Linked DNA regions of Caenorhabditis elegans. The protein of the gene in region 2 purifies or fractionates together with the protein of the main gene of each other region. This does not show direct contact. Each region holds a gene or a part of one and is shown on either strand. Other genes may lie near its edges.

Region 1 (5,940 bases), on a different chromosome or scaffold from region 2:
TTTTTTTTATTGAAAACACAAACCGAATTTTGCCAAAGCGTCTGGGAATCGATATTTATCTAATTTTTTTTTGGGAATTTAGGTACATTTGGACCAGATTTGATCTCTAAATGTTCTTAAATCCACGAAAAAACGCTAGACGAACAACTTTGAAACACAGAAAAAACAACCCAAAAAAATTCCGGCACGGAAAAGTTGACGAAATTTGTTAAATACCGCCATAAAACATTTTTGAAAAGTTTCGGTGAGGACTCCGCTGTAAAAAATTCAAAATCGCCTCAAATCCATCCTGAAAAACCACAAAGAAAACACGAAAAAATTGCCAAAGAACGAAAAATCGCACTCCTACAAACGAGATTTTTCTTCTTTTTTTGCGATGTTTCCCTTTTTCCATTATGGATTTTAAGAATTTCAGACTAATTTAAACTTTTTTTGATAACTCCTCCTTCAATTAGATATGCTCTCGAACCTCTCTTCTGTTTCTGTTTAACATTTGCCAATCCGATGCCTCGTCCTTCTCTCCATCCCATTGATCGGAGCATCCGTACTCCTATCGAATTACTAACAGGCTTCACAACATCCTCAAACATCTGAGTTATCGTTGAAATACTTGTCGTATCCCGTTCCCAAGCCATTTTCCTTTTCTGTCCAGCTCCTTCACCAAATGCCGCAGTCTGTTTTATCGATCGATTCCCTATTCCATATTCTCCAAGATCTTCTGCATCCATAAAATCTTCAGCTCTTTGTTTTATTTGTTCTCCACGTTCATTCCGAGATGATGAGAACACTTGAGGAACCCATCCTTGCTTTGATCCAACTGTATTCCAATAACCAGCTGAAAATCCTCCAGTGAAGGCTCCATGGAATCTCCGTTTTCCTTTTTCATCTGTTGCTATCTCTTCGTGGATTTGAGTTGGCTTTTTTGATACAGAGCTTCCTGAAATTATTTATTTTTTTCCTGAAAACTGTAAAATTGCAGACCTTCTTCGTCATCATCTTCGAATTCCTGACCATATGCTGCTAATTTTTTCCTGTTCATTTATTTAGAAAAATCTGAAATGAAATTCACATTTTTTTCCAAAACTTTTTAGGAAACAAAAATCAATATTTTAATGGATTTTTCTGAAACCGTATATTTTCCAAAATTAATTTCAAAAAACTCGAGCTGAATGACACCTATTTATTTAAACCGACAAACTAAATCATCAATATGATAAATACAAAGAATAAAAATAATTGTTCTGTTTCTGTGTGATCACTTGTTGACCTTGTTGAAGTATTCCTTGCTGGTAGCGACTCCTGGCTTGATGGTTGGAGAATCCTCATGCCAATCAGCTGGGCAAACCTGAAAAATTAATTTTTTATTCGTCGAAATTTGTTTTAATGGACTAAAACTAGCCCGAAACGACCGATTTCCTTTTCAACAAAAATTTAAATATTTTTATGGCGGGCCAAAGTTTCGGAAAAAAAACATTGCATTTTTTTTGCTAGAAATTAAATTTTTTGTAAATTTCAAAATTCACCTCTCCGTGCTTATCAGAGAATTGGAATGCCTTGAGCACTCTCAAAGTCTCATCAACAGATCTTCCAACTGGAAGATCGTTACAAGTAGTGTGACGGACAGTTCCAGATGGATCAATGAGGAAAAGTCCACGGTATGAGAGTCCGGATTCCTTGTCGAGCACACCGAACGAGTCGGCGATCTTCTTGTTGAAATCAGCGAGCAAAGGGATGTCCATATCACCGAGTCCTCCGTCCTTGCGTGGAGTGTTAACCCAGGCCAAGTGAGAGAAGTGAGAATCACACGAGCACGCGACAACTTCAGCTCCAAGAGAACGGAACTCGTTTGCACGATCTCCGTATGCGATGATTTCAGTTGGGCATACAAAGGTGAAGTCAAGTGGATAGAAGAACATGACGAGCCATTTTCCTTTGTAGTCTTGATCAGAAATCACCTGGAATTAATTTTTGAAAAAAATATATATATTTGTTATTTTTAACCTTGAAGTCTCCATCAACGACAGCAGTTCCTTTGAAAGCTGGGACAGTATTTTTTGGTCCAAGTGGACGAAGTGACAAAAGAGCACGAGATGTGCTCAACTGGCGGGTGGCAACAGTAGGAACCGTGCGGCAAAGAGCTCGAACAGCAGAAGAAAACATCTGCAAAACTCAGATATTCAGAAATCTTTTTTTCCAGAATTTGATCTACGAAACAATTGAAGATATCAAATCGTTCCAAACTGGTTAACGATAAAAAGAAAATAGCAACAGCAGATAATTGAAAAATGGTCATTTTATTCACTGTTATTGCATGTGTCACATAGATAACAAAAATCGCAAAATTGAGAAGAGCGAGCGAGTTGAGACCAAATAGATATTTAAAATTTCGAATGGTAAATTGGGAAAGAGGACAAAAAATAAATAGAAAAGGAAAAACTTAACAGTGACGTGTAAAAAAACATAAAACGTGGATTGGAGAGGACAATTAAGTACGTGGTTTTCAGCGCTTTCCAGAAGTCTTCTTTCCCTTGACGAAGCACCAATCGACTTTGACATTCTGGCCGAGAAGATCTGTATCGTTGCTCTGATCAATAGCTTCGTTGGCTTCCTGGAAAATAAATAATTTATATTGATACCAGCCGTGGACCGCACCTCCGGCGCGGCCCCCCACTTCTGGGGCTGAAAACTAATTTTTCTGAAACTACCGTAACCCTACAGTATTCCTACCGTACCACTATTGTACCACTACAGTACCCCGACTATATCCCTACACTAACCCCAACTCACTATCCCCACAGAAGCCAAAACTTCACAGACTACAAAGACTACATAGACTACAAACTATGGACACACAGAATAAGCGCTTTATATATAGTAAATGATTTCGATAGAAACGACGACTGCTAAAATATTACCTTCTGCGTTTCGTACTCCACCAGTGCGTATCCCTTCAAAAAACCGGTTCGTCTGTCGAGATTCAAATGAATGTTCTTAATTTTTCCGTACTCGGAAAACTTGTCATGAACATCATCTTCTGTTGCCTCTTCGTGAATGTTTGTCACGAAGACAATCCATCCTTCAACGGATCTTTGTGGTGCTCCGCTTGTGGCAGACGACTCTTCATCGACCACGTCGTAGGTGATCCTCTCGCGATTGCGACTCTAGAAAAATATATTATTGATTATTGATTACAAAATTCGACAAAATTTACCTGCGCAAGTCCTCGACCTCTTGATCTCTCGGCGTTGGCCACCACATCCTCCATCTCTACTTCGTTGTCGCTCATTTTTCTCTTCAAGCGATTGAGACGATCGGGCTCTGAAATTTTATTTATTTATATTTTCAGTTAGATCATTCAGTTTGAAAACCGCCACAAGTTCCTATTGGAAAGAGCAGTTTACACGAGAAAATGTAGAGAAAAGATCGAGGAAAGAATAAATTAAAAGAAAGTGCACATTAAAAATATTGAGATAAAATGGTTAAAATTCGTTAAATACAGGTTGATTTCGTAGAGATCAGTAGATACTTCAATAGTTGAATCCACCGCCAACAAGACGACGCATTCTTCTCGTGTTTCTGTCTTGATCACGCATCTTCTTTTCGATTTCAGCGTCGGTTAAAGTTTCGAGGAATGGACCCCAAGATTCGACTTCAGATGATGTTCTGAATAGCATTGGTTTGCAAAAATTCATTATTTCATATCAAATTTACCTGAACGGGCAATCAACAGTGGCCAGTGGGCTTTCTGAAAACGCATATGTTCTTTGATTCCATTGTAACTGTCCGCGAATTGAATATGCAATTCCTGACATAAATTCACCACCGAGGCCAAGCTCTTTGCAGATGTTTCGTGAAAACTCTTCCGGGCTGTTATTAGGATCCGACATATCCCACCTGAAGTTAAAATGAATTGTCAGTCTTTAGCATTTCCAACATACTCGAATTGATCAACCAAACTCTGGTTTCCAACATTAATATTCAACTTGAGAACGGCTCTCTGATCACAAATGTTCACATCCAATGGTGGCGCTTCTGTAGAAGCTTCGAGCTGCTGATTAATTGCTGCAGTAATAGCAGGCTGGAAAACTGCCAATGGTAGATCAAGATCTTCACACATAATTTCGGCAATCATCTCGGGAGTGATCATTTTCTCGTTTTTATTGAAAGTGAACGTATCGCGAAGTTTGATTCCATCCAACTCCATATCCAATCGAATTGGCACAAGATCTTCTCCTTCCTCAGCATTTTTCATCACTCGTTTCGACATTTCTAAATCTTCTGCTGAATATACTAATTCACGATGCTTCATTCTTCCTCTAGAATGAGCTATCGGACAAGAACATGGAACGGATTCGAGATGATGTGAACCGCTGGTGACTTGTTGTCCTGCCCATCCAGTTGCAGGAGTTTTAGCGACAGTTCTAGAAGCTCCTTCAGTTCTTGGAGTTGAAGGCGCTGCTCCAGCCGCTCGGTACTTTTCTTCGGAACCATCGAGAAGCTCATCTACTTCATGCGCTCTCAGCAGCCTGTAAAATACTTGCCGAATGAAATTTGACACTTTGGTTTTTATACTCACATGATATTAGTATGCAAAAAAGCATTTGACATTGCAATTTGCTTCAGCTTGTCTTTGTCATCCGAAGTTGCAACTTTTCTCCATAATAATGGATACTTCTTGTAGAGAGTTCCACGATGGAGACGAAGATAGGCACCTATTTCAGAACCGATGTAGTATCTTTCTCCGGCTTCATCTAGACTGAAGCTCTGAGGACGTGGTCCGTAAGTTTGAGACAACGTTTTCGTGCTGCTCGACATTACCTGAAACATAATACGAATATGTCAAGAACTGGGAGTAAAATGCGACGAAACGGATAATTTCAAATAGCAGTGGTTGTAAACGCTATTCTAATAGAAAAACAATAAATTATGATAGTAATTCAAATGATTTAAGCTGAAACAAATTATATATTTCAAGAAAAAAACATGAAAAACATGAAAACAGAAGCGAATACCGTTCAAAATTCGAGTAATAAATTCTGTTCTACGCGAAGCGTGCCGCGTGCGTATCTCAAGGGGGCGCAATTGCACACTACCAAATTTCGGCAACTAAAATTGGAATTACCATGGAAACGAAGGAATTGAAGAGAAAGGGGTCATGGAAAAATGTGTTCCTAGCAATATATACGTTTTAGATGAAATTTATTATTATCTGCAACTGGTTACTTTTTCTTCTATGTTATAAATGGCTTGGTAATTGGGAAATTCCAATTAACCTGGGGTATGTACATATTTCGGATTCTAAAAAAACGGTTTATTTCTTCTAGATTTGATCCGTTTCGCGTAGTTGGAGGTTTTCCTACTCTTGTTGATTCTTTCTTTCAAGATTTTTTTGAAAAACCAACAGATAGCTCGAAAACTTCAACATTTCCTCTTGATGATCTACAGTACCCAGTTGTAACACCTCAGTTGGCCCGGTATCACAATAATTGTTTTTTGACAGAAAAATTAATAGAATTTCAGTAAAATGAAATGGAATTGTTCAATAATTCAATCTTCGGATAAATGTTTCACTGTTATCAAATCATCGGAGTGTCTAGCTTCTACTCAATTTTCTTATAACTTTTGGGAAAATTCTGAAGAAATGTCTGAATGTTTTCATAAATCCAAGGGAAATATGGAATGTAGAATACCTTTTCAAAATGGAAATATCTGTGAAAATGTGGTTGTTGGAATTCAAAAAAGTGGGAATAGTTCGATTTTCATAGAATTAGATGATATAATGGTAAGTTTTGATATTATTTCGGCATTCTAAAGATGTAGTATTTTCAGATTAATACTCAAATATTTCAAAACTATGCAGAAACTAAACACAGACTTCCAAATAACAAAATATCGGAAAATTCGACCAGAGAAGATTTTTATTTTGAGAATTCAGATTTT
Region 2 (5,718 bases):
GGGCAGCGGCCTCCTCGGTGAACTCGACGAAGGCGAATCCACGTGGACGTCCGGTCTCGCGGTCGCAAACGATTCTGAAAATAGAGATTCATATTGAGAGTTAACGGGTCGTCGTTCAGGAGGTTTCGGGAAGAGGAGATTTCGGGGAGAGAAGCTTACCTGACGTTGCTGACGTTTCCAGCCTGGCTGAAGTAGTTGCCAAGGTCGTCCTCGGTAGTTTGGAATGGAGCGTTTCCGACTGAAAAATGCATTAAAATTATTAAAAACTCAAATTATCTCAGCCTAATCAAATACAATAAATAGAAAAACGCCTGGAGAAAAATAAAAATTTTAGGCCAGACTTTAAATTCGGCTTTTCTCGATTAAAATCTGCTTTTAAAGCTGAATATTCCAGTTTTCTACTTGAATAATTTACAATTAACAAAACTAACCGTAAACAGAGAATCCAGACATGACGATTTTAGGCCGGAGCGTAAATATGTGTGATTCGAATCGTTTTCGCTTGCCTCCTCCGACTCGTGGGAAACCGTGCGGCACTTGCGGTAAAAGTGTGCCAGCCTTGCGTTCGCGCTCCGCCCCCTTTAGTCATTTCAGCGTTAGCAAACGCTGCGTCTTTTATTCCTCATTCTCTGTCATTTTTCATAGCAATTGTTTCATTTTCTCACGTAATTTGTCGTTTTTTCGCTGAATTACAAGATTTTCATCGATTTTTGACCCTTTTACACTGTAATTTTGCCAAAAAAACGATTATTTTCTCTATGTTTCCGTATGCGCCGCCTATATCGCTGAAAATTATCGTATTTCTTAATTTTTCGCTTTCAGAATGTTCAATCTTCAAAAACGAATCAACGGCAACAACGAGGACGGTCGGTATCTTGAAACCCGCATCGCCGTCCGTGACAAGCTCCTAGCTCAGGGTATGTGGCTGCTTTATAAAAAATTTTGATTTTACAACATTTTCAGAACTCCAACAGCTGGAGACTGCTCTTCGCGATCAGAAGCAAAAGCTGTGGCATCTCGAGGTCCCATCAACATCGTGTCTTCATGAGTTGGAACTCACCGTGACACCTCAAGAAGGAATCTATCGTGGAGGCAAATTCCGATTCAAGATCACCGTCCCGCCAGAGTACAACAACGTGCCGCCCGTTGTTAAGTGCCTGACAAAGGTTTGGCATCCAAATATCAACGAGGACGGATCGATTTGTCTATCGATTTTGCGTCAAAACTCGTTGGATCAATACGGATGGCGTCCAACGCGTAACCTCACCGACGTCGTCCACGGACTCGTCTCACTGTTCAACGATCTTATGGACTTCAACGACGCGCTGAACATTCAAGCCGCCCAGATGTGGAGTCAGAATCGCGAATCGTTCAATCATCGTGTTCGGGAATACATTTCTAGATATTGCTAAGGACCAACGGATCGGATTACAAATGGCCTGTGAATTGACCCCCCCTATGAAATTGATTTTGATTCTAACTTTTCCCCCACCTCTCAGACTTTTTCTAACTGTACTTTTTGAAAGAAATAAAATTTATTCTTGAGAAATTTGAGAACTTAAGAAGAGAAGAGAAAATCGAATAAATTAAACAAGTTAAAGAGATTTGGTGGATAAAATAGAACAGAGTCTGAAGGAATTAAATTAGATTGGCTTGATCTTGAAGTGAAGGCCAATGAGCGAGAAGACGAGGCACTTGAGATCCTGAACGAGATAGTAGAACGAGCGGAGACCATCCGGATCTTTCGAGTTGTTCACATCGGCTAGAGCTCCGATTTTGCCGGTCGTAAACGAGATGTGCTCGTTTTTGTACAGAATTTCCAGCTCCTGGCGTCCAATCTTGTCTGGTTCTGGCCAATTGTCATCGTCCTCCTGCATGATTTCCGAGTCTTCGATGATACGCTTGAGCTCGCTGAGCACCGATTCCGACACTGTCGCCTCTTTGCGGATCATCGTGTCATTCTTGTAGTTGGAGTTGTTCGCGTAGCGAAGCGATCCGTTTGGACGGAATTCGAATTCGAGAAATTCGTGACCGAATTTTCCCTGAAAATTGTTTCGTAAACTAATTTAAATTGGCGAAAATTGTCATTTTTCCAAGATTTTCCAAGACCTACCTTGTGTCCAACGTAGTAACGAACGTAAAAGTCCGCTGCCTTCTCTTCTTCGCCGCTCATTCTGAAAATAAATAGGAATTGAGAAAATCCAAACATCCATTAAATAAAACCGGGTGAAAATTAGAATTTCAAGGTAAAAAAACCTGATTTTTCAGTGAAAATTCACAAAAGAAAGATGATAAATAGGTTTATATTGTGATAAATTCGATAAAAACTGTGTTTTTAGACAAGAAACGATAGAAAATATCCTTTAAAATATAGAGAAAAGAAATCCGATAAAAATTCGAAAACGCCGAAATCTGTGCATTTGTGCGCGGCGGTGTATGCACCACCGGCACCACACTTGACGACGGAAATTTTTTAATTGTCGATTTAACGAAAGATTTAAATAGATTTGAGGATCAATAGAGGTTTAGAGAAGTTGAGATTCGTATAAATTAAAGAAATAGTTTGAAGAGACGATATAAATACAAAGTTAGTGCATACAGAAAATCAAGTTAAAACCAAATTATGCCACATTTTCGCCGCCATCAATCCGATTTTTCTTCATCTCCTCTTGCGCCGCACAAATCGGACTCGCGTGCCGTTTCATCGATTGAATATTCTTCGTCTCCGGCTCTTGACCATCGTAGAATTCCGCCGAATCTTCCACCTGAACGTCTTCCTCGAACTGAGTAACTCTGACGTCATCATTCTGATGATCTCGGATCAGTTTCTCGTCAAAAGTCTTCACAATTGAGTCACAACTCGTCGAAATCGATTGCATTTGGACCGATGGAACGTGTGGAAGTTGCTTTAAATTCTCCAAAAGCGCGACAATCGTTTGATCAATGAATTCAGGAGTGTTGAAGTTCGAAAGAGCGGCGAGCGGCTTTATGTGTAGTTTGTAGTCCGGGATGAAGTAGTCAAAGTAGTCGTGGAGGGGCAGATCTGGAAGAAAAATTGGCATTTTTTAGCGGGAAATTCGAATTTTCAAGATTTTTTGCCGAAAATAAGCCGTTTTTTCGCAAATTTCCGGGGGAAAAATCGAAATTTCCATACCATCTGAAACTTCTTGATTCAAAGCGATCGCCGTCTCGTACAGCCAACATCTGGAGACATTTCGAATCGTATATCCACCACCGCCAACTAACAGAAGCGGCACGTTGAAGCTTTTCATGTATTCCACGCATTTTCCGTGTCCTGAAAAAAAAAATTTTTGCTTATTTCTGAGAAAAAGGCCAATTTTTTGGTTATTTTCTATGAAAAAATCTAATTTTTGGTCATTTTCCGGGAAAAATTGGAGTTTTTTTCCGTGATTTTTCAGATGTTTTTCGTTAAAAATACGTTTTAAAAAATTGTTTTTGTCATAGAAAACTCATTATCTGTTTTTTTTTTTGTGAAAAAGGCAATTTTTAGCATATTTTCCGAGAAAAACTGAATTTTTTCCGTTTTTTCTGATGTTTTTCGTGAAAAAATCCGATTTTTCAGTAATTTTCATCGAAAAAATCCCATTTTTCGGTAGGTTTCCTCTCAATTTTTATTTAAAATTCGTGATTTTGCTATTGTTATTCCGAATTACTTCACCATTCCTATTTAAAGGCGCACAGCCGGGTTCGGATGGGTCTCGCCGCGAAAAGCATTATTTTAACGACTTTTCTTGATTTTTTGAGTGTTAAATCTAGTGAAAATGGCCCAAAATCACAAAATTTCGCCAAAAACTAAGAAATTCCGATATATTCAGTGAGAAAAGCATTTTTTAGCACTTTTTCCGATAAAAATCCCATTTTTAGGTAGGTTTCCTCTCAATTTTTACTTAAAATTCGTGATTTTGCTATTATTATTCCGAATTTCTCCACAATTCCTACTTAAAGGCGCACAGACGAGTTCGGATGGGTCTCGCCGCGAAAATCACCATTTTAACGAATTTTCTTGATTTTTTGTGAAAATTTTAGTTTAAACTAGCGAAAATGATCCAAAATCGAGAATTTTTGCCGAAAACTGAGAAAATCTTCTCCACGAGGAGTACACGAGAGCTTCTTCGTAAATCGACACACACAAACCATAAGTAGTCAAATTGAATACTCCTAGCCGATCTCCTGCCAGTGAATCGGCACCACATTGGAGCACAACTGCTTCTGGTTGAAATCTTGCCATAACTTCTCCCATAATTGTTCTGAAAATCCGTTCATAAGTGACGTCATCGACTCCATCACGAAGTGGAACATTCAGAGCATAGTACTTGCCACTTCCAGCGCCAACGTCTGAAAAAAACTTTTTCATAAATTTTTTGAAATAAATGTAGCTATTTTCGGCAATTTGCCGGTTTGCCGATTTGCAGATATGCCGGAAATGGTAAATTCCGGCAATTTGCCGATCTGCCGGAAATTTTCATTATCGGCAATTTGACGATTTGCCGGAAATTTAAATTCCGAAAATTTGCCGTGTTTCCGGCAAATTCCAATTCCTGCCATTCGCACATTTGCCGGAAATTTCAAATTCCGGCAATTTGCCGTTTTTCCGGGAAACTCGGCTAATCGACATTTTGCCGGATAATTTCAATTCCGGCAATTTTCCAAATTTGTCGGAAATTTTCATTACCGACAAATGGTCGATTTTCCAGCAAATTTCAATTCCGACAATTTGCCAGAAATTGTCAATTCCGGCAACTTGACGATTTGCCGGAAATTAAAAACTCCGGCAATATGCCGATTTGCCGGAAATGCTAAATTCCGGCAATTTGCCGTTTTTCCAGAAAATTTAATTTCCGGCAAATTGCCAAAAATTTAAATTCCGGCAGTTTGCCGGAAAATTGTCGATTTTCCGGCAAATTTGGCAAATCGGCAATTTCCCGGAAAATTTCAATTCCTGCAATTTGCCAAAAACTTAAATTCCGGCAACTCGCCGGAAATTTTCTATTCAGACAATTTGCCGATTTCCGGCAAAAATTTGCCAGTTTGCCAATTTGCCGGAAAATTAAAATTAGCTGAAATTAAATTCGCCAAAAAATCTTATTTTATAGTTAATTTTCTGAATTTTTTTTTAATTTTAAAAATTTTTGAAAAATTTATTTTTCGATTTTCCCTCAAAAGCATCGAAAAAACGACATTTTTTCCAAAAAAAAAATCGAATTTTCAGCTAATATTAATTTGCCGATTTCCGGCAAATTTTTTTCAGGCAATTTGCAGATTTGTCGGAAATTTAAAATTTAAATTTAAAAAATCGAAGAGATCTCTCTTCCCGTACCCTTTAAATCTCCAGTTCCAGGGAAATATTCTCCATGTTTATGAAATGAAACAGTCATAACTCTATCTGTCGTATAAAATGCTTCCTCAACTCCATCACCATGATGAACATCAATATCAATATAAAGAACTCTTTTATGATGCTTCAAAAGCTCCAAAATCGCCAGAACAATATCATTCGAGTAACAGAATCCAGAAGCTTCCGATTTCTTCGCATGATGTAGACCACCCATCCAGTTAATTGCAATTTCTGATTCTTGACGATTAAGCCGGGCGGCAGCAGCCAGTGATCCACCACATGATAGCTGGCAGAACTCATACATTCCATCAAAGACAGGACAATCCTCTCCAACTGAGAATCGGGCCATTTGATCTGTGAAT

The links. The genes of interacting proteins can lie anywhere in the genome.
Region 1: the proteins of mag-1 (region 2) and rnp-4 purify together in Caenorhabditis elegans (affinity purification with western blotting; 2 studies listed by BioGRID, with this or other methods). This does not show direct contact.

Annotation. Positions count from the first base shown.
Region 1 is NC_003281.10:4,403,664-4,409,603, reverse strand, and holds rnp-4 (RNA-binding protein rnp-4), read right to left. Parts: upstream 3,319-5,940; 5' UTR 3,287-3,318; coding exon 3,212-3,286; intron 3,162-3,211; coding exon 2,916-3,161; intron 2,609-2,915; coding exon 2,501-2,608; 3' UTR 2,281-2,500; downstream 1-2,280. Other genes in the region: gpch-1 (G patch domain-containing protein 1 homolog), read right to left, coding at 470-937, 982-1,039; putative peroxiredoxin prdx-3, read right to left, coding at 1,256-1,345, 1,524-1,955, 2,002-2,160; snfc-5 (SWI/SNF Subunit INI1 DNA binding domain-containing protein), read right to left, coding at 3,528-3,663, 3,712-3,894, 3,939-4,526, 4,577-4,815; R07E5.17 (uncharacterized protein), read left to right, coding at 5,193-5,278, 5,325-5,474, 5,521-5,782, 5,830-5,940.
Region 2 is NC_003279.8:11,910,504-11,916,221, forward strand, and holds mag-1 (Protein mago nashi homolog), read right to left. Parts: upstream 2,175-5,718; 5' UTR 2,174-2,174; coding exon 2,114-2,173; intron 2,043-2,113; coding exon 1,644-2,042; 3' UTR 1,526-1,643; downstream 1-1,525. Other genes in the region: rbm-3.2 (RRM domain-containing protein), read right to left, coding at 1-74, 160-238, 432-453; NEDD8-conjugating enzyme ubc-12, read left to right, coding at 824-917, 964-1,412; hda-3 (Histone deacetylase), read right to left, coding at 2,622-3,043, 3,155-3,295, 4,156-4,356, 5,339-5,718.